Linked DNA regions of Styela clava. The protein of the gene in region 1 purifies or fractionates together with the protein of each later gene. This does not show direct contact. Links are inferred from orthologs where the notes say so. Each region holds a gene or a part of one and is shown on either strand. Other genes may lie near its edges.

Region 1 (11,729 bases):
TTTCATCCAATCGGGGGTCATTTTCAACATATCTCTCAGCTTAGAACGTAATATACTAACCGGTACTGTAGTTTAATCAAAACTAGGTTGTAAAATTGCATTTGAATATTGCAATATAAAAAAACAAGCAAGTTGCAATTTGTAGCGTAATTCTGCGAAATATCGCGTTAGCGGAGCGTCGTGAAACAGAAGCACTTCGGGCGGAACAAGCACGTGATTAATTAGTTCGACCCCGTTGTAAACACAGACGTCCTATGCTTTAACAGTATATGGGGGTTGTGTTTACTAAATGGAAGCGGAATATTGCGTCCTAACTGTCGAATAAATGACTACGGTGGAGTATTAAGGGTACCAGTGGTGCGATGGTTGTCAAATATACTGATAAGTACGTTGAAGCACTTCTAAAAGACCGAATTTCTGTCTTTGCTAACAACTTAGGAAGTTACTGATATATGTATGTGTCATGCAGCATCGGCTGATTGGTATGGGACTGAAAGAGTCCATACCCCAAATGGAACTCGTAATCGGGCGAAAGGCCGGTTCATAATATCCGCCTATGATTAATCAACTTTCCTCTCACAGGAATAAATATGAAAATCTCATTATTCACTTGTTACTGCTCAGCTTGTCAGGTTAGGATGGTTTTTGGGAAGATATTTAAGAGCTTACTAGTTCTATTAAAAAACATGTGGATATTAAAAGCCCATGACCATATTTTGAGTAGTCTATGTCATTAAATACAGTTGGGGTTAAATTGAGTATTTTGAAAATTAACAATGATAACATTTTTTTAAATCAACAATTTCATCAAATGACACAACGCTTTTACTTTAACAGCTTTCAAACTCTTAATCAAAACTCGTTAAAATGTCTGCAAACCTGTCAGAGATGATAGCTAAAGCATCAACACAATTTACCTCTGATATTGTGAAGGCAATAGAAGGTAGGTTCACATTTTCCAAATGATGGTTATTATGTGCTACCTACTTTGGTGGTTGGATTGATATTATAAAACAGAAAAAGTTTTTTATAAACGCAATAATGATATACAGGTACTTTCAATATCAAAATATTGATTTTTTGTCATACTAAAATTACCGTAATTTTCACCCAATAAGCCTGAAAATACGGTATTTCCCTAAGTTCCTACTTCAAACTACCTTTTTTTCTAAGATGCTGAATTCCAAATGGATGACATCGATCAACTAACTAGAGAAGATGTGAATGAGGAATTCAGAGGATTTCGCTTTGGAATCAGAAAAGAATTGTGGTTATTTTTTAAAGCATTCAAGAGAAGTCCTCCTAAATTACAGGTATGGCATCAGGGCTTCTAGAATGCTTATTTATCTTAATCTTCTTGTTCTACTTGGATTTAACAATTTTAGTTTATTGAGGAAATTGAATTCTGCTGTGAAACATAAATAAATTTTATATTATGATATTTTTCAATATAGATATGCATCATGAAAGGTGACAATACACTCACTCAAAAAAATAAATTTTTTTTTTGTAGGAAGCAAGAACAACGAAGACTATTCTTAATGAAAATATACAAGAAGAAAGAGATCCGTGCATCATTAAGAAAGTTACTTCAGTTTCATCTCCGAATATGTTTTCAAATTACTTTCGTAAAAATGCACAAACCCCCGAGGGTCTTGTTCCAATATCTTCCGATGATGAAGCCGAATCCTCGAATTCATCTATATTTGGGCCTTCCTCACCAATACATAATAAGATCGTACCTAAGTCCCCTAAAAGTCCTAATACATTTTTCATTCCCTATCCTGGAAATATAACATCACCTTTCCCACTAAGCCAAATTCTCAAAGAGTCTTTAGTGGGCATTAACAGTATTAAGCGAAATGATTCTGTGTTTAACAGCCTTGTGGCTGAAGTTCATAACACTTTGAAAAACAGTCTTGGACCAAATATATCAGAAGGTGATTTACGATATACAGCAGCCATGTTATGTGTTGAATACCCAGGCCTTCGCAGTGAAGGAGAGGATGGTTGGACAATGCTTTACTCAGCTTTAAAAGACTGGAATTCTCTCCATGTGACATCACAAAGTCCCATTGACCTGCATGATAATTCCAATCCTGATGATGAGGTATCGGATGGTCCTGAAACCTCTAGTACAATGACCTTCCAAAACCAGAAGAAAAGCTATCTTGCTTCTAAAAATGCATCTCCTTTGCCTTACCCTAATGGTATAACTTGGCCTTTTCCTTTAAACGTATCGCTACGGGAATATATGTCAAAGGGATATGACATCTTAAATAATACGAACAGAAAAGCATTCCAAGAATTAGTGAGAGATATTTCAACTATTCTCAAAAATGTTCTCGGACGAAATCCTGACCAATACGAAGTAAAGTGTACAGTTACTAACCTATGCTCTGAGTACCCGGTTCTTTGTCAAAATGGATTAAGATACTCCCCTACACTACATCGGGCGATAAGAAAGAAATTCAATAACATGGATTATAAAAAAAGAAGTCAGACACAGATTTATCCTCCACATGATGCCCATATAGTTAAAATTGAAGAAGGTACATATTCTTTTTTTTTATAAGTTTGTTACAACCAGTGCATGATTGTTCAATTTCTTTTGAAGCCTCTGGTTGAACTATCGTTGAAATTTGTTCCCCCGAATTATGCACCGCAATGTACTTGGATAATAATATTTGAGTGTGTCAGAGATTATTTCGTATCTGCCTGCCTTGAAAACTTTGACATGAAATTATCAAACCTATTAAAATCAATGCATAGAGTAGGTATGGATGGATATATCAAATGTTTTGCTAGACTCAGGTTGCTTATGTGCACAAAAAGATGAGTTCACACATAGTATTGATTACCATAGGTCGTAGATGTGAGACATCCTGCATAACATACCCAGCATTGCTAGTCTGGTATTATTCAGTCTACATCACTAAGAGATTATTCAGAATGGTATGCTATCTCATCCATAAAGTATTATATTATTATCTATAGGCCTTCCATCAAAACGACAATGTACTGAAGATGAGTAACAAGCATGAAGAGTGAGGAAATTGCCATGTTTCAATGCCAGGCAATCCAGCGAACCTCTTAGTCTTATACAATGAAGTTATCTGCAACTGGCAAGGATTTACTTTAAAGCACACGATGGGTTATGATTAGTATCAACCTGTTTTATACACAATCATAAATTCTGTTGTACAGTAGATCTAAGAGCGTTCATTTTAGCTTTTACAAAATTTTACTATGCTATGTCAATTTTTTATTGAGTCAACAGAAGTTTCCCTGAATTTGTGTGACCATTTTATACATACTTGCCTACCGTAAGTCAATTTTAAGTCTTGCCCCTATCTTTTTATCAATTATTTATTTTTCCTTTTACATTTCGTTTCAAATTCGTGCAAGTGTGTTGTGTAATCATGCTTTTAATTATTCTTTATTGAAATTATACAGGTATTAAAATATCAACACTTGAAGGCATTTGGTAGTGATGGACCGGTGGTTCCTAACAATTTTCGGTAAAAGAGTCATGTTATGCTGAATATCACAGAAAATCATAGTTCATTTGGTTTGGTCATTCCGCTTTTAGGTTCAGGTTACATTTCAATTAGCCTGAAGAAGTTAGACCAGTGGTAGGTAAACTTGATGTACTAGTGGGCCAAATATACATATCCCCAGAAGCGTGCGGGCCGTGTACAAATAATCACCACATCATACTATAAATTGCGACACACTCGTTATTCCTGTCTGTCACAATGGGGCAGTGTTCGAATAATGCTTAACAAAGAAATATTTATCGTCCAATGTCGCCAACTTTTACAAATTAAACTTATAATAACAACTATCTGTAGGCACAATCAGAAAGTAAACATCTCTACTTACTAAAAAACAATCACCGTACAGCAGCCAGTGTTAGGACATGAATCTGTGTGCAGACAATACTAAGTATATGAACAATTTGTTTTAAGCATTAATAGTGTTGAAAGCCACAAAAACATATAACGATTAGAATCACATTTAGCATAGGGAATAAGCAGTATCAGAGGTTGGGCGTCACACATTACATTTCAAACTGATAAATAATTTGTGGAAACAGGACACACAATTATTAGAAATCCCATATCTGAGTACAATTCTGGCAATCAAGTATTCTGAAATACTAAAATTTTCCTGAATATTGTAAAATGTAATAAAATTAGTTATTTCTTCAATCACCTCTCATAGAGGGTTCATTTATTTGATCCTCATTTACAAGCAATATATAAGATTTACATATTTATCCTGGGGGAGGAGAAAGCCAATAGGACAGCTTAATCCTATGCCGAATCAGGGCCTCGAGTGTGGGATTAGTTGGACAGTTATATGCATGGTCGAGGAAGCTGTGAACCAGGTGGCGCAGAGTCCACAATCCCGTCGCACATGATAATCCCACACGGAATTCGAAACTGCGAATCCAAGCAGGGTAATCGGATGTGCAGTAGCAAGCGTTTTCTCAATGCCTCGGCTCAGCATGAAGTGCCACACCGTCAGGCCATAAGAATTTTATATATACTGCTTCTAAAGGCACATGCATAACTTGTAAGCAATCGTTTCTTACAGAACAATGAGCAATATGGCCAATCCTACTCTACCTGGAATTATTTTTGGATGGCGGAGAAAGTAACAACAGACCAGTCAGAAATCTGCTCTTGCATAATTATCCCCATGAAGGCTCTGAGTGATGAGCAGTGGCATGGCAATCATGATTCAAGCACGATGAACCAACTGACAAATCAAATTACTAATCGAAAGGTTCAGACACATGGTCTTGAATAGTGAAAGGAATCATACTCAATTAGTACATATTATGATTGTGCAACACAGTATTCCAACCTCTGAACCTGCAGTTTGACTGTCGTGGCATTGTCAAGTGTGTCCTTGACAACCCATTCTGTCATTATTCCACTCTGAATATTAGCTAAAGAATGCATGGAAGTAAAAAACATTAGCTTGACTTATATTAACTTTTTACGTAAATTATATACATGTAATATCACAATGGTCCCCAAGCTTGAAGCCCGATCAAACTTGTCATGTTTGTTTCACTCTCAATTAATGCTGTAATGTTTTTTGACTAGTTCGTATCAGCAATACTCTGTTTACAATGATTACATTGCTCAATATTGCATGATTAACTTCAGTTGGATTGATAGAAAAATAGGATGGGATTTACATATTTATCCCAGGGGAGGAAAGGCGATAAGAAGGCTTAACCATATGGCGAACCACGGCCTCTCGTCTGGTTGCCATTTCATGTCAGGCATGGGAATAGTTGGTTATTTGTTTTCGGAAGCATGGACTTGATGGTGGAGGCAGCCGTAACCGACCAGGGGTTACATGAACCACCGTACGGTGGCGAGGAGTCCAGCAATCCTCTCGCACATAACTATCCCCGCATGGGATTTGAGCCTGCGAATCCATGCAGAGTAATCAGAGGTACCGGTGGTGAGTGTATTCCTTGCGGCCGTGCCAGTGGTTTAACTAAAATGTACAATCAAAAAGCTGGAAAACTAGTCTTCGTTAGCTTTTTCAGACTTTTAAGAATCAAAATAAACTTGTGACCATAAAAGGAGAGGCTTGCCTTGTGAATTAGAGTGCAGCGGGTATTCATAATTTCAGTAATTTAGCAATTTCAGTATTTGTAAATAAAATGACAAAAGGACAAAACTCTATAGCAAAAAGTGGTATTCAGGATCTAAACACACAAAAAACTTTCACGAAAACACCTTATATCATTTGGATACTATACCTTATACATATAGCATAGATTACTAACCTGAAGCACATAAAAAAGATGACTTCTTTTTCTTTCCCGTTTTAGCAACGTGAACAACGCCCAACAATCTTTCATCATTTGGGGTGAATAAATCCCTTTGCAAGGCGTGTTTTATCGCCGTCATATTCAAAATTATTTCTCATTAAACTGAACTAAACCAAATTGAACAATTATATATGGCTCCAGAAAATAATTCTCCACAAGCAGACAAACAGCCGATTTCGTTTCAAGACAAAAACTTTAGCTGACCGTCTGGGATAATAAATTACGGACCGAAGGCATCCCGACAATAAGCAAAAAAGCAACCCGCATAAATCAGCTCTTTACCAAAATATTATAAAAAGCGGACCACGTGATACGTGATTTAGTATTTTAGTAGATTCTAATGAAGCCAGCTATTTACTACAAACACGTTTCGCGAGTAGCGGCAGTGATATTTTCTGATTTTCGTGCACAGCTTCACGTCTTGCCCCGGTTTCAACGTCTCTGACAAATAATAAACTGACTATGCGTCCTTTAACAGAAGATGAGACAAAAACGTTGTTTGAAAAACTTGCAAAATAGTAAGTACATATAAAGATATTTATATATATGATGTTCTAATTCTTGGTATTGCTGAATTGTTAGGGTCGGAAGGTTTTGTGTAGCATGAGTGGACTATTAGACTAGGCTATACCGGTACCGGTACCGGTAGTTCACTAAAACAATAAAACGGGAACATGAAATATTTTTCTGTTTCTGTGGTAGGCCTATATTACTACTGTATTGAGTCAGTAGAACAGTCGATTTTGACGATTGGGTGGTGTGGCTCATCTTGCTAAGCGTTAGGAATACGCTCTCTCCACGGCCTCTCGTCCGGTTACCAGTCCAGGTCGGGTATGCGATTAGTTAGCTAGCCAGTTATTTGTTTTCGGAAGCATGGACTTGATGGTGGAGGAAGCCTGCGAACCCACGCGAGGTAATCGGAGATGCGGTGGCAATCCTCCACCATCCAGTCCATGCTTCCGAAAACAAATAGCTGGCTAACTAATCCCATACCCGACCTGGACTGGTAACCAGACGAGAGGCCGTGGTTCGCCATATGATTTAAAAGCTTTAATATTGGCTTTCCTTCCCTCCGGGATAAATATGTAAATCCTATCCTAATATCCTCGCCACCGCACCTCTGATTACTGGATAACTCTGCGTGGGTTCGAATCCCATGCAGGGATAGTTATGTGCGAGAGGATTGCTGGACTTCTCGCCTCCGTAGCGTGGTTCACGGCTTCCTCCACCATCAAGTACATGCTTCCGAAAACAAATAACTAACTAATCCCATACCCGACATGGAATGGTAACCGGACAAGAGGCCGTGGTTTGCCATATGGCTAAGCTGTCTTATTCCTCTCCCATGGGATAAATATGTAAAAATTATTCTATCCTAAATTTTTATGTTTTTTTATTAATAATTAAATAAAAGTCTGTCAGGCGCAGAATGAAATTTTCGCCATAGACGCATTTAGTTAAAATCAAACCTACCCAATTTCAACTAAGCAGGTATTTCCTATGGCAAAAAGGATATAGTGTTCCCTGTGAGACATATTTCTACTAGAAAAAATAAAAGTTTGGATGTTTTTTTCTCGTCACAATTTTGTTTGGCACTATAAGCAGTCACAGCGTTTAATTCACTGGGCCCGTAATTTCAGGGTTACCGTTTTTCAAAAGAGCAACATGATTTTTTCTTACTCAGTCATTGCGATATGTCATTCTGTTAGGTACAATACATGCACAAACAGAACTTCAAGCGTAAACAATGAAAAAAAGTTCGAAAAAGAAAATATACGGGTTCTGTTTTTTTTTCTGGGTGGGGGCGAGGTGTTGGTAGGGTCACCCTGTATGTTTGAAGCCCATTTTATGCAAGTTTACTCAAAGCAACAATATCAACCTTATTCCAAAAGTTATATGAATACAGAAGAAAGAATGGCAAACACCGGTACTCTCAGTTCTTGCTGTAACTCTCTTAAATACCATTATACATTTACTTAAGCTATCATGATAACTGTGACATCTTACATGTTTGCATTCTTTTTTATCATGGCCAACAGAATTTTATTGCTCTGAAACTTTTATGATACTTTATTTCTACTGCTTCTACTACAATTTTTTTTAAATAATTTCACATAAAACTTGAATACCACTTTCCAAATAACTTGCGGGTAATGACTCTGATGAGATAATTTTGACGACCGATGCAATGGCATTTGCGACTCGTAACCTTCTAAATATACTTTCAAGCAAAGACATAATCAGAGAGTGGCTCGAATTTTCACTCAATAAAAGACATTGCATTTTAGCTGGCTATTGAAGATCTCAATTCCAATTCTAGGGTCTAGCTAAGTAAATGCCGAAACTCTTCAAAATAACGCCAAACAAAAAAGTAATGTGTGTGTTTGTTTAAAAAAAAAATTGTCTGTTTGGGGTGAAATGAAGTTCTTGACAGATGCGTTTAGTTGAACAAAATTTTTCAACTAAGCAGGTTTATCTCATGCCAAATAGGGTATAGCGTTCTGTGGGAGACAGACTTTTAAAAAAATTTAGGCTATTTTTATTTTTTACATCACATTTTCTTTTGGCGACATTCAAGCCCTTATGACAAATACATCGTTAGACCCCAATTCTTCCGAAAAATGTGACATTTAAATTTTTAATTGTTTCAGTATTGGGGAGAACATCAAATTATTGATTGATCGTCCAGATGGAGTATACTGCTTCAGACTTCACAGAGATCGAGTATATTATGTATCTGAAGAAATTATGAAAAGAGCGACTAACGTTTGCAGAGAAAATTTAATCAGCTTTGGCGTGTGCTTTGGAAAATTTACAAAAACAAAGAAATTTAGGCTCCATGTCACTGCACTTGATTATTTAGCGCCTTATGCAAAGGTAAGATTATGAGATAAAAGCAGGTATCATGGAGCAAAAGTCATCAATGACGTATCAATTGGAATTTTTGATTTGATTGTGCAATAATCAAAAATTAGTCCAGGAAAAGCTGCAATTGACTAGGCTAAACCGAGCAAGCGGTTGTATATTTTAATAAAAATAATGGGTTTGATCATGTAAATCAGTTTCTAAGTGTCAACTCTCCAAAACACTCACAAAATAAGCATCCAAAATTTTGCGATAATTACTAAGTTATATAGAATTTTTCTGGGGTCAAGGGCCGGAGAAACATCCATAACACTTGTGATACTCTGTTCCCATTGTGTGAATTTAGATTCAGCTCAATTGCCCTGACATTTTTGTGGCCCATTGTTCCAAGGAGTGTAGTACCCACGCCACAATACATCTCTTGATTTCCTACAATGCTTATTACTTCATCTGTATTGTGAATAATGAAGCCTGTTCTTATTATTTGAAGAATATTTACACAACAGTCATACATTGCAAAATAATTGAAGTTGAACATAAAAAGAAATGTAAAATAATATTGTAGTTGATTAATAGTCCATACACCAATACATACATGCCGCATAATTAGAATTGACACAAGTGCAAATGCAATAATAACCATCATTGTTTGAGAATATCAAATAATGTCAATTACTTTTTCAGTTCAAAGTTTGGGTGAAACCAGGTGCAGAACAATCATTTTTATATGGAAATCACATATTAAAATCAGGATTAGGAAGAATTACTGAAGGAACTCCTAAATATCAAGGCATAGTGTTATATTCAATGAATGATATACCTTTGGTAAGTAGTAAAGGTATAACGTGTAATAAAAAGACTTGTCTCTTGCTTTCCTGAATTTGTATCCATTATGTATTTTATATTGCAGGCTATTCAAAAAACATCTAAATTGACAATTTTTGTTGGGATATCTCATGAACTAATTGTTTAAAGATTTTTCATGTAATCGCCTTTCTTTTATAGGGATTTGGTGTAGCAGCAAAATCGACAGCCGAATGCAGGCATGCGGATCCTATGTCAATCATTGCTTTTCATCAAGCGGATATTGGAGAATATCTTCGTAATGAAGACACTTTAACATGAAATTATACAATGAAAAAAAATTTACTTTAAATTGCATTTTTATTGAAACGGGTGATTTGCATATTACAAAGATTGAGAGTTTACGAGTAGTTTGTCATGTAGGTGGTGCCGAAGCTTCAGGTTGGCCATTCTCAGCTGATTCTGGTTGTCTTCCCTTTCGACGGCCTAATACCTTAACATAAGTTGCAGGAACCATCCCTACATTTGTACCATCTAAAGATGCCATAAGCCAATTCTGTATATGTGGTTGTTGGTCTTTTGGTGCAAGGTTTAACAGGTCGCCAACTTTCACAGTTAGTTCATCATCATTATCAGCTTCAAAATCATATTCTACTCTAGCAACAACATGATCTGATAATCCGCTTGCCCATGGTGTCTGAGGCTTTTGTACATTGCCTGTTCCACTCAATAATTTCCAAATCAAGTAAGGGCCTCCTATAACAACAGACATGAAAAGAAGTATGGGCCACGATCTTGATTTCTTCTTCTGTGGTATAACATCAGAGTCTGTTTTGACCGTATCCCATGCCTCTTCACATGATCCTCCCAAGTTTAGAAATGCCAAAGCTCGGCGATATAAAAATCGTATCAAACGGAAGACTGCGATAGAAGAAAGAATATCAGCAAATGTTGCCCTCACCCTCGAAAATTGATCTGCTACATCAAGCACAGCTCGGAATGAGCTGTAAACAGCCCCGAGTGTAGATTCTAACATAGCAGAAACGGATGTGAATGCTCTCACAATACTTTCAACAGATTGAAATGCATTTCTAGTGCTTTCTTCTGCTTGTCTAGCAAATCCTCCCGGTGCACCATATGATCTATTGTAGGAACCGTACATACCCCCACCACCATAACCCCCATACATTCCGCTCCCCATTCCACCACCATACATCCCTCCATATCCAGTACCATAGCCATAGGAACCATATCCTCCATATGAAGGCTGATAACCCATTGGAGTCATAGTACGCTGGGATGGTCTATTGGGAACAGGAGGCGGCGACCTTTTTCTCGCCTGATCAGTTGCTGTCAATGAAGCATCTACAACAGGTGGATTTGAGATAGAATGCAATGGTCCAATATTACCAGCACTTTGAGTCCGGTTTATCTCCCAAGGTTTTATTGGTGGATCAGCCATTATTTTATTAGATATTGTATAACTAGGAAATAAAGCTATTTGGTCATAACCTAAGACAAACATGATACAAATTATGTGTATTGATTGCAGTATTGTGTATATCAGAAGCTAAAACTAACAATTCTAGTACGATTTCAGCAACTTTGAACTTGCGAAGAAAAAAATTGCAATTTGGCAACTACCAAAGAATATACTACTCCCACTGAAATCACTTATGGAAAAACTTATTGATACAATACTTACATATATTTTAAGATTATCAAATGGATCTGTATAACAGTAATATTACCACTAAAATAATGGTACTGCCTTACACTAAGCAGACGTTCAATTACCGTATATTGTGTTTTGCATTGACGATATCAAATAAGATAAGCATTATGTGTGTGGATTCATATTCATACCGAATATGAATTGCATAAATAACCAGCTCAGAGTTTCTCAGGAGGGGGGGTACGATAAGATTCTCTGGTGTTCAAAGGCAAGCACCTTCGCTGTGATTATATCAAATTACAAAGCCTGGACTTAGATTTGTTTAATTCTTTGGCAAAATGCATTTATTTTCTTGCTTTCATGGCTTTATTATTTTTAAACATGGCGCAAAAAATAATTGATGGAAATGAGTTCGAGAACCACTGAGATTGCTAAAATTGACATCAGCAGATCCGAATATAACTGCCTTGACAAATTCAAGTAGGTTTTCAATGTATGACCATGTCACAGCCTTAACAATTT
Region 2 (10,996 bases), on another chromosome or scaffold:
TAATATTTAACACAGCAATGATTTGCATTGTATCAAATTTATTTTTCAGCATCATGAAGCTGCAGATTCTGCTGCATTGTCGTTAAATAAAGTACGAATACAAGTTGTTGGACAAGGAATAAAATCGATGAAACCTGTAATGCAAAGTCAAAATATGAACAAAACAAAAGAAGGGTTGGTTATTAAATAATTATAGCAAATTTGCACAGTTTAGAGACATTGATATATGAACTGTTCAGCATATTTAAAACATCCATTTGGTTGATGTCCCAAGTTAGCACTCTTCAGTGGCATCGTAGGGTAAAATCTCCCCCCCCCCCCATACACACAAAAACTAGCCACCTTTCATTTGTTATTCCATCTATTGAGGTTGCCATGGTTACCCCGCCAGTCATGCCTGGAATCGTTCTCTCCCCTTACCACAAGCGATACTGGAACCACCAGTTCACCTTGAACATACTTATGAAAGGGTGGCTACTGTTAGTGAATATTGTTCGGCTTTTTTTATCTTTATACGATTCAAAGTTAGGCTCTTTCATAGGTGACAATGCTCGATAACCAATACTGGTTTATTGCTTCTCCATTCATCCCGAAATACATTATTTTTATTTTACTTCACTGTTGATGCACGCTTGTATTTTTGGTATGTGAATAAATAAACTAGTGACTGACTGACATCACCCATGGTGTATTAAATTGGCTGGGCCTTTTCGAACCAGAAAGATTCCATGTCCTTCCGGTTATTAAGTAGCTCGACATATATAATATATATCGATATCAGTGACGACCTTGTTCGAAGCAAAAGATGTGAATTAGCTTCATATAAAAATAAGTTTGCTTTATTTTCGCGGTTTTTTATGTGTGAATTTTTGCACTGACTTCTTCTTTTTATATGTGTGCAAATCTTGTTCCTAATTATGTCAATGCTTACATAGGAAAATTTATCAGATATTGTCTTTCACTATCATTGCAAAACAAATGTATTGTTGATGCTATTTCGTATATTTTACAGAAACGGAATTTATGTCTCTGAAGATCAAGTGAAATTTTCAGATGTTCCTGTAAATGAATCATCTGTGTTGAAGATTCCGGTGAAAAATAGGAGCAAGGAGTCTCACAATGTATGATTGTAATTTTTTTTTCTTCCAAGTTCGGCATAAACACCGTAAATATGTTGACCCGGTTTAAATGCTGTCGAAAATCTTTGCATTCAATTTTTGATGTTTTTCTAATTTCATTTCATTTTTTCATTTGAAAGGTCTTATAAAATGCATTGTTCATTGTTTCACTATTCTGTGTATTGTATTCCCCAGTTTTGCTTACTAGTTTTCCTATTTTTTCTTTTCTGTGTCTTATTTATATACGTGTGATTTGGTTCAATATGAATAGATTTATTTAACAATATTTTTTTTATTTAAAATTCTTAAACATTATTTAATTGTTCAGGTTAAATTCATCAATGTTCGACCTCCATTTCACATCACACATCAGCGACATACTATCAGGTAAAAGTTACTTTTTAAGTTTGAAAGTAATTCAAAGGCGGGGTTTGAAATCTACATTTAGCGTTTCCGAAATTGAGCATACTTTAAATTGATTAGTTATGTATCATCGTAATCCGAAAAGAGTATACGTACGGACGGCAGTTTAAAAATTAAAAGAAAGTACATTGTGTGCATATATGACCATTTTAGCTACAGTGACTATGGTGTACTTCCCAAGGGCAACTGAGCATAATATATTGCCAATGATCGCATAATATTGCGTTTTTTCACTCGACATGCTTCTGAGAAAAGGGAACTTGCTGAAATATAGATAATCAAAATAAATTGTTCACCGCCTAAATAACCATGTTACGCTGATAAAAAGTGGGTGATTTCAACAAAATTATCCTTGTAAAAATTGCACTTCTTATTAGCGACTTTTTTGGTCTTCTAAAATTTTCAGGCCACTGACTAGGTATTGACAGCTTGATTCTAGATTGTGGGTACTGTAATACTGTAAAACAAAAATCCCAATGCCTCATAATTATAAGATGACAACTAACAATGTCTTTGTATTCTGGTTGGGGCAGATAGGTCTGTGCAGTGAAACACATTTAACTTAAGTACATTAACTTTACTTCAAATATGAATTTAAGGCCGATGTCATATGCTTGTCTGCCAGTCACCTTCAAACCAACTGCAAAGGGAGAGTTTGAGGGAACTCTTGTCATTCAAACTGAAACAAATTTCAATCTTTCTGTGAAGTTGCTAGGACGTGGAATCTAATCTTTGCTTGATCACTAATTACAAAACATGATTCATGCTAAATTTTTACTTGGTATAAAACCAAAGAAGAATTGGAACTGTGTGGAGGTGGATTTCTGAAGACTTTGTCGTTTGAAAATGGTATCAAATGTTTCTATATTGTGTATGTAATATTTTAAACCACTATGATGATTGCAAAAGAAACAAGTACCGTTATAAGTACTGCCTAATAGGTTAACATTGAGACATTCTTCGTCTCTTTAAAGTATGTAACAAAAAATTTGATTCCAGGACTCTTGCTTAGACTATGAGTTTCGCATCTTTGAATTTATTATGAAATATCATATAGACATAGCTCTAAGCTGTACTATAAAGCACTGAGCTCTGTCATTAATGGTACTTTCTTTATAACACAGTGATATTCATATATTGTATTATTCTGTTTTTTTTCCCACTGTGCTAGTGATGATAGTAATGTAGTAGTCTTTACCTTTTTTTGAGAAATCAAAATTTATTCCAGTTTATTGTAATTCCATCAACTTATTTTTTTTTTCTGCTTCTCAGATACACGTTCTGTATGTTAATAAATAGATCTTGTAAAGCATAGTCTGTGGTAACTATAGATACTGGTAATTGGTTGAATACCATCAATCATTTTAGCTTTTCGGTATCAGATATTGTAGTTGCTCAGAGATATGTTTCAGTGAAAGAGCCACTAACTTCCTAATGTTTGAAGCTTAAAGATGTATGGCATGATGTGCGATGAAAACATTTTGCAGTTGGCAAAACAAATAACTCATGTTGAGTTTGAGTATTCATCTATTAAATCGTTGCTGGACATTGGGACCTGAAAAAACATCGCGGGAGATCTTAAAAATTTGCGAGTCACTGACTAACCTTAACTGAACTAAGGTAGAAATAGAATTTACGAGGCAATAGACTAACCTTAACTAAACTAAGTTTTGTTCATAAAAAGATAAAATTAAATAATATAAAAGTGTTATTCCACTTCCTTTGATCAATGTATGCCGCTGTCAGAGGTGTATTTTCAACACCGGAGCAATCAACCAACTGATATTGAACAGTCTATCTTCGCCAGCGATTGCATAGTGCCTTTGAAGTGATTAGTAGCTTTGCAATATGTTCGGTTGGCTGTGTTACATAAACGAACATCATCCCTAAAATTTTGATTTGATGATACTAAAGCCTAAAGTTTATCCCTTTCACAGCTGCCAATTGAATATACAGACTTTATATGATTGCCTTGTTATATGGTGTAATAGTAATTTCGCCTTAAATTCACCAAAGAAGTTTGGTGGCAATCCCTTAACAACGTTGTTCAAAAGTTTCTGTTAACATCAGCAATGCATTGTTTCCTCTAAATTTTGAAAATATTATTTCAAGCTGATTTGAAGGAAAAATGCTATGTCAGAAAGGCACCAACCAAGGCTACTGTTCATTGTGAGCACTTGCCAACAAACTCTTGCCAAGTTGAATTCATAGAAATACAAGTATCATCAACATGCATACCAACTTTATTAGATAACTGTGCATTATTAAATATATATGTGCTACGATTAATACAAAATGGCATTACATTGGAAGCAGTGCTTCAGATATCAACTACATAATCTCATTGAAAATATGGCAAGTGCATAATACTAAGAAAACTTGTGTATAGGCTGTGAAACTTGAGGACATAATTTGTATGAGTTGCAGACAACTAAATTATAATAGCTAACGAGTATTAGTTTCATTGATACAGTTGAAAAGTGTGACATATGAATTAGGTTAGTGAAGTGAGAAGACACCCTATACATAATTCTGCCGGAATTTGAAAGAAGATATTGTGTAAATTGCACTAAAAGTGTTGTACCGTGCAGGCTAAGTCAAAAAAAAATATTCAACTAAAAATTTATCACACTAATTAAAATAATAAAAAATATTTATATAATTCCTTCTTGTGGCCAGTTGAGCTGTTTAACAAGCCCACCCTTGCCTTTGGCATACGGTCCATATATTTCAAGACTGCAGTCTCGTTTTGTCGATCGCCAGCCAATCATTCTTGTTGTAGTTCCTGGATATGGTGGTGATTTTCCAACTTTTATGTATTTTTCAATTGGTGTGATCGGAGGTAACCTCAGCTGTTCTGGAAGTTCTACTTTGGGTTTTGACGGTTTTTCTTCCTCTGTTTCACCATCTTCTGCCAGCTGCAATAGTTGAAGCATATTTTATTAAAACAACGATAGCTATTTTATCAAGGTTCAATCACAGTACAGTGGGTACAATGGACTGAGATTGCTCACCTATACAAACACAATTTGTTACAAAACTGTGTAAATCAGTTTTTGCAGTTAAAATCAGTATACCGGTTCATATCACATAATTGATCATTTCTAGAATCTTAAATGCACATTTGTTAATCAATACAATTAATAACAAAAAACAATACAATAATGTAAAAGATTGCAGATCATTTATGAAAATTACAATTCATACCTCTCTATAAGTTTGGGTCATGAAACCCCAATTCTGAGGCCATTTCCTCGATGCTGACCACTCCATATGAACATGACTTTTCCTGAAACAAAGCAACTCCAGTGAAAATTATGATAGTCTACTGACTAGATACAGAGATCATATGAATAACGTTAGACACTACTGGTGATAGGCAGGCTACTGTCTATAAAATGTGTTGCATACTGCAAATGACACATTGTCTGGTATACCGGTATGACTTTTCCGATATCCGACTCTCACTCACCAAATCTCATCGTTGGCTACGTAGTTGCAGCCGGCAACTTGCCTCCCTACCTTCCCCGCAGCAGCAGCAGCCATTTTTGGAAAAAGTCACTCAGAAGAAATTGTGACAAGACTTGCAAGCGATCAGCTGATACAGTTACTATGGTGACTATAATCGCCACCTAGTGAGCTCATGACGGAATAAAATCGGCCGACCTTTCACCCCAAAACGTTTAACTTCCCAGACTAAATTTTTACGTTTTGCATAGTCAGATACGGTAGTGATTTCCTTTGCGTATTTCAAAAGATTTTCGAGTGCATTGAATCGGTATATCAGTATATTGGTACGGTAAATCTTATTCATAAATTATATTTCAGTATTTGACGTTTTGAAGTCATCTGGAATAGATATGGAAAATTTATTCTATCTTAACGATTGTTAAATGAGTAGCTCATTTCAGTATTCACAAATAGCATTACCGGTACCGTATTATAAATTCCCTACCGTACTCAATTATTGAGTCATAATTCAGTACTGGTAATTGTTCTAACAGGACAGTAGGAGAGAGGGTTCAGGGTCCACGAAAATACAAAATATACAGGACAAAGGCTCAAAACAGGCAAACGATCACCCAAGTCTGCAAGTTGAGCAAGCTACAAAGTCAGAAAGTGGGTCTCATGTAGTTTCGTACCTAACATACTTCTAGTGGGCGTAGCATGACAATTTTTCCTCGTTTCAATCCTAACCCCCACCTGACTACACCATCCAAAAAGTACGTCATTACGACGTCACAGTGACGTAATAGAGCCCTTCAAACTATACGAACTGCCATCCAAGACGCGCAAACGAGCACACGAAATCGAACAGTTACTTCTCTCGTTTTCTCGTCGCAACGATTCCAATAGGAGCGAGATCGATAACATCAGTCAGTTCTTCATCGTCGATTCAATTTTTCGATGGCGTAGTCAGATGGGGGTTAGGATTGACATATCAAAAAATTGTTATGCTACGCCCACTAGAAGTACGTTAGGTACGAAACTACACGAGACCCCTACAAAGTATGTATACATCGTCATACTCATACCGGTACTCGCTCTTGTTTCTGTGTTTCCTCATCTTTGTATCATTTCTCGATTTTGAGGGCATGATTTCCTTTTAGACGACAGTTCTTATATTTTGGCATGCCTTATTTCGTCACTGTGATGTCGTAGTGACATAATTTTGGATGATTACGTATCCGTTTTGATATAAAATTGAGAACATAAATTTATTTTAAATGTTTCTTTATAGGACATTGATTTGTGCTTAATAACCATGCTCTATAGTTTACAAGCAGACAAGAGCGAAATACTTTATAATATAGTATCAGCAGCAAAATGTCAACATTTTTTGTAATATCGGCTTGATTTTTTAAGGGGGAGGTGCTATACGCAATCCTGGTTATGAAAAACAATTCCTAAGCACAATCTAGAAGTTTAGAACTCAAACACATGAATTTATTAGTTTAACTTACATTTCTCTTTTGCTCCTTCTAAAGTTCAAATTTCAAACAAGTAATCTTTATTTGACAATGTTTTAGCACTGTTATAAATAATTGTCATATTAGAATGGAAAGTGCTTCTCAACCTGTGCCTAAAAAGTCTACTGCTTTAGCAAAGACGATTGGACACAGAAACTTTGATCCAAAGCAATATGCAAAGAGCATCAGTGCCCAATCAGATGGAGATAAAGATCTACAGGAGCACAAACAGAGAGTACAGACATTGGGTGAAGAAACTGCTCATATTTTGAAGAAACAAGTCTATAAATACTATGAGCAATTCATTGAAACTGCAAAAGAAATTTCTTACGTTGAGGGTGAAATGTTTCAGCTCAATCATATATTAACAGAGCAAAAGAATCTTATGGATTCGATGGCAAATATTTTTCTTATAAAAGAACAGCCACAGTATGGTGCAAATGAAAAAAAAAGCAAAGAAAATATCAAAAAAGATGAGCAACGTAAAGTTATGAGATCTTTAGTAGAGAAAGTTCAAGGGTGTCCAGATATCACTGATGTTTCTACTAGATTTCTTATTCATGATGGTGATCTTTCAGAGCTTGATATGGATAATTTTTCTCCCATTCGTAAAGTTCATCTATTTCTTTTTAATGATGCGTTGATGGTGACAACCTGGGCTGGTTTAAGAAGAGGACAACCAGTCCCTGGTAAATATAAATTTGAATGTCTTTTTGATTTGGAAAATCTGGCCGTTATCAATGCTCGAGATGCTGGACCAGTCAAATGTGCTTTCAAGATTTTGATTTTTCCTGATTCCAATATGTTTCAATGTGAAAGTTCAAAGGAAAAAAGAGAATGGCTTGACATTTTAGAAGAAACAAAGAAAAAGTTTTTGGCAGACAGAGAACATAATTCCCCTGTGTCACCTACAACTCCTATGTCACCAAATTTAGATCCGTTTAATCCTTTTTCTGAATCGCCTGGTAAATCATCAGGGTCAAAAAAGATGGAAGGAAATGCATCACTGGATAATGATAAATTAAATGAGGTTTGGATTCAAGAAATGCCTGAAGATTTAGATGTTTACATTGCCCAGCGATATTTCAAAGAAGCTGTAGAATTAGTGTTAAAGACAAAAGCCTTTTTAGATGGCATTGGTGAAAGTGCAACAAAGAAAGAAGTCGATGCTAAGTTATCAGCAAGAACGTCTCAACTTGTGAGTGTGTTGACCAAAGAACTACAAACTGCTCCTGATCGAAGTCATCGTGGTGGTCCCAGAGCAGCACGGAATCCTGTTTTGCTTCTCATTAAGCTTGGGGAAAGTACCAAAGCCTGTCAGTTATTCCTACACAATCGCTCTAGTGCAGTTTCATATGCTCTTAAACAATTAAGAACGGAGGGATATCTTCAATTATACATTGCTAAAATGTGTAAAGTTTTTTTTAACAATCTAAAAGAAACACTCAAAGAATTTGAAACTGCTTTTAAAGATCATCCGGGTTGTTACTCTACTTTTGTCGTTTGGTCACAAACGGAGATTAAAGTATTTGTTGGAAAAATTTCGCAACAAGTTTTCACTAGAAAAGCTGATATTGCTGAAATAGGAGACTGCACAAAAACTGTGTTTTCTCAAAGCAAGGCTGTTCATATCATTGGATTAGATTTGGATTTTGCTGTTACTTCACTACTTGTACAAGACATTGAATCAACAATCATAGATCATAAGCAAAAATTGATTGATGCTATTAAGCTACGTAGCTCTGAAGAATTGTGGAAACCAACTAATGCTAAGACACCACAGGCTCTTTTGAAAATACAAGAAGAAATGACTGGATATGGAATTTTAAACATTGGTCAATATTGCTTTGATGATTGCTTCTGCTATCTCACACTTTCAACATTAGCTTTTACAAGAGCCATTGTTATTCATGTGGACAGTGTGATAAAAATGTACCTACCGGAAATTCAAAAACTTCTTCTTGATTCTGTTGAAGAAATCGAACGATGCTACACTGATTTTGTTGCTGGTTGTCTCCGCTGTGAACAGGAAAGACCTGAGAAAGCACGGCTCATCAAACGTAATGCCATGTTTGTTGCCGAGTCATTGTTGCCACTGATAGAAAACAAAATTCAAAAATGTGTTTTACAAATTCCTAAACAACTCACTGATCTGAGAAGAGATTTTATTAAACAAACTTCTAGTTAGTGGAGAACTTTTTTTTGCTTGAAAATTGTTCCAAATACTATGAAAGCTAGGTTGTATATTTTTTTACTTTGTATCATGCTCAAATTATTTCTATTATGCCTGATTCGCATTATAATATGATGGAAACTGTACAACTATGTTGGGTTGAATTGTTCTGTCAGTAATTATTCCCCCAGGTGCTGATGAATAGACAAGGAATATGATTGAACAATAATTTTTTTAAAATAGATACGGGGGAGATATGTTGTGTACCCCACTGACATTTTTTTCAATCACTGCCTGTTGTAATAAAGGATGATATTCGAATTAAAAATTGACTTTCATTCACTACGAAAGAGAAATTTGCTTCGAACAATAATATTTGTGAAAGTAGATTTGGGGGAGATATACCGGTAGATACTGTACTTCAACTACATTATTTTCAATCACTGCCTGTTTTGATAAAGAATAATATTGAAATGATAATATGATTTTCATTCGCTAAAAAATATATACGGATGTTGAGAAGCACTCATAAATAAGTGAGCTGTATATCACTTGATTTAATCAATGTGAAATGATAGAAATGCATTCAAAAAAATTATTTTTTTGCTATTATTCAGGATTTTGAGACATATTGTCTGTCGCAACAAACAGCCACATTAGATCAAATTCAATTTCAATATCTACCAAGTATAATCCTCTTCAACTCTCTATTATTCAGATTTGTGCTATTGTGAATCTTCATTTAATGCGCTATTGTTTTTAGTGACTTTATAACATGATTCTGCTACGTATTGCGGACTTCTGAGTAGTTTTTTTGTCAACCAATTTTAAATTAATTTAGAATTTGTTTCATTTTATATGGCTCCAGAATTTGTGCAATATGTTTTAATACACATTATAATAGATGTCGGTAATTTTTGATGGAACTGATTTACAATCGTTTAAATTGAAGATTTCTGCATAAAAACATTTCGATGGTTTGCCGTTGATAAAAAATATAGTTATTGAGAGTTGTTGATTATTGCACTTTCATTCCATCTCTATTCAATGTTTTGAATCTGGCCCATTTCATGTGATTTTGTATCAATTATATGTAAGATCTGCTTTTTATGATTTGAATTGTTAATTAAATTAAAGCAAATAAAACTGATAAATATTTACTATTTGAGCCTATACTCTATACTACTATATGGCACTGTTCATTTTTCAATATTATCTGTACTTATATTTAGAGTATCAGGATAAAATGTTTAGAATATTAGGCTTGGCCTTCATTTTGTGTTGGATTACTTTGTCTACATGCCACATGAAGAGAGACTACATTGAAAGCAAACCTTTCATCCACAATCCTCCACTCGTCGACAAACCTTTTGTATTTGTATGGGATGTTTCGAGCGATTTATGTGAAGAAAAATTTGGGGTAAAACTGAACTTAGACTATTTTGATATTATCCACAACAAGAACAAAGGACAATTGGGTGAAAATCTTGTTATATTTTATCAAAACAATTTGTCCAAATTTCCATATTTTGATCGGAAAACAGGACAAGCTGTCAATGGTGGTCTACCGCAAGCGGCAAATTTAAAATCAATTTTAACTGACTTTGAGATCACTGTGAATAAACTTATACCAGATAAGGACTTTCAGGGTTTAGCTATTCTGGACTGTGAATTATGGCGAGCATTATTCAGTAGAATGGGTGATTCATTGATGAAGATATATCAACAAAAATCAATAGAATCGATAAAACATAAACACCCTGATTGGAACGAAGCACAACAACTTCGGTGGGCGACATTGGAATATAACTTAGCGACAGAAAGAATTTTAAAACCAATACTAGTACTTGGAGAGATTTTGAGGCCTCATGCATTGTGGGGTTATTATTTGTATCCAGATTGTCGTTATTACAACATGACTAAAAAAGATATGATCTGCTCAAATTTGGAAATGAAGAAAAATACTGAAATACAATGGCTTTTTGATGAAAGCACCACATTGTATCCTTCTGTATATTTACCTGAATTTTACAAAGACAAAGACTTCGTTAAAAATTATGTTGCAAATAGAATTCAAGAAGCAATGAGAGTTGATGATGCAAGGTTTAGTAATGTTAGTGCTCCTGTATTTTCATATCATATGCTATCATATAAAAAGACAATTAAATTTTTGGACTCTCAAGATCTTCTAGATAGTATTGGCATTGCAGCGGTTCTTGGTGAATCGGGAGTTATATTTTGGGGTGGAAATAATATGGGTAATTCAATTGAGGCTTGTCAAAATCTTAGTAACTATATAGATAACTTTCTTG

The links. Proteins that work in one complex are often made in the same cells at the same time.
Region 2: the proteins of exocyst complex component 1-like (region 1) and exocyst complex component 8-like purify together in Homo sapiens (affinity purification with mass spectrometry; 3 studies listed by BioGRID and IntAct, counting the BioPlex papers as one, with this or other methods). This does not show direct contact. The link is inferred for Styela clava from reciprocal best matches to the Homo sapiens genes EXOC1 and EXOC8.

Annotation. Positions count from the first base shown.
Region 1 is NC_135261.1:10,509,929-10,521,657, reverse strand, and holds the start of exocyst complex component 1-like, read right to left. Parts: upstream 6,090-11,729; 5' UTR 5,943-6,089; coding exon 5,819-5,942; intron 3,484-5,818; exon of another isoform or gene 3,036-3,483; coding exon of another isoform or gene 2,998-3,035; intron 2,553-2,997; coding exon of another isoform or gene 1,514-2,552; intron 1,314-1,513; coding exon of another isoform or gene 1,174-1,313; intron 944-1,173; coding exon of another isoform or gene 868-943; exon of another isoform or gene 838-867; intron 386-837; exon of another isoform or gene 49-385; intron 1-48. Other genes in the region: uncharacterized protein LOC120329417, read left to right, coding at 868-943, 1,174-1,313, 1,514-2,552, 2,998-3,035; 60S ribosome subunit biogenesis protein NIP7 homolog, read left to right, coding at 6,326-6,381, 8,515-8,740, 9,413-9,553, 9,734-9,853; peroxisomal membrane protein PEX13-like, read right to left, coding at 9,948-11,057.
Region 2 is NC_135260.1:14,958,876-14,969,871, reverse strand, and holds exocyst complex component 8-like, read left to right. Parts: upstream 1-6,551; 5' UTR 6,552-6,599; coding exon 6,600-8,699; 3' UTR 8,700-9,917; downstream 9,918-10,996. Other genes in the region: uncharacterized protein LOC120347828, read left to right, coding at 50-174, 1,013-1,121, 1,447-1,505, 2,141-2,270; ciliary microtubule inner protein 1-like, read right to left, coding at 4,196-4,459, 4,749-4,830, 5,014-5,087; hyaluronidase-like, read left to right, coding at 9,991-10,996. UniProt on the Homo sapiens protein: Component of the exocyst complex involved in the docking of exocytic vesicles with fusion sites on the plasma membrane.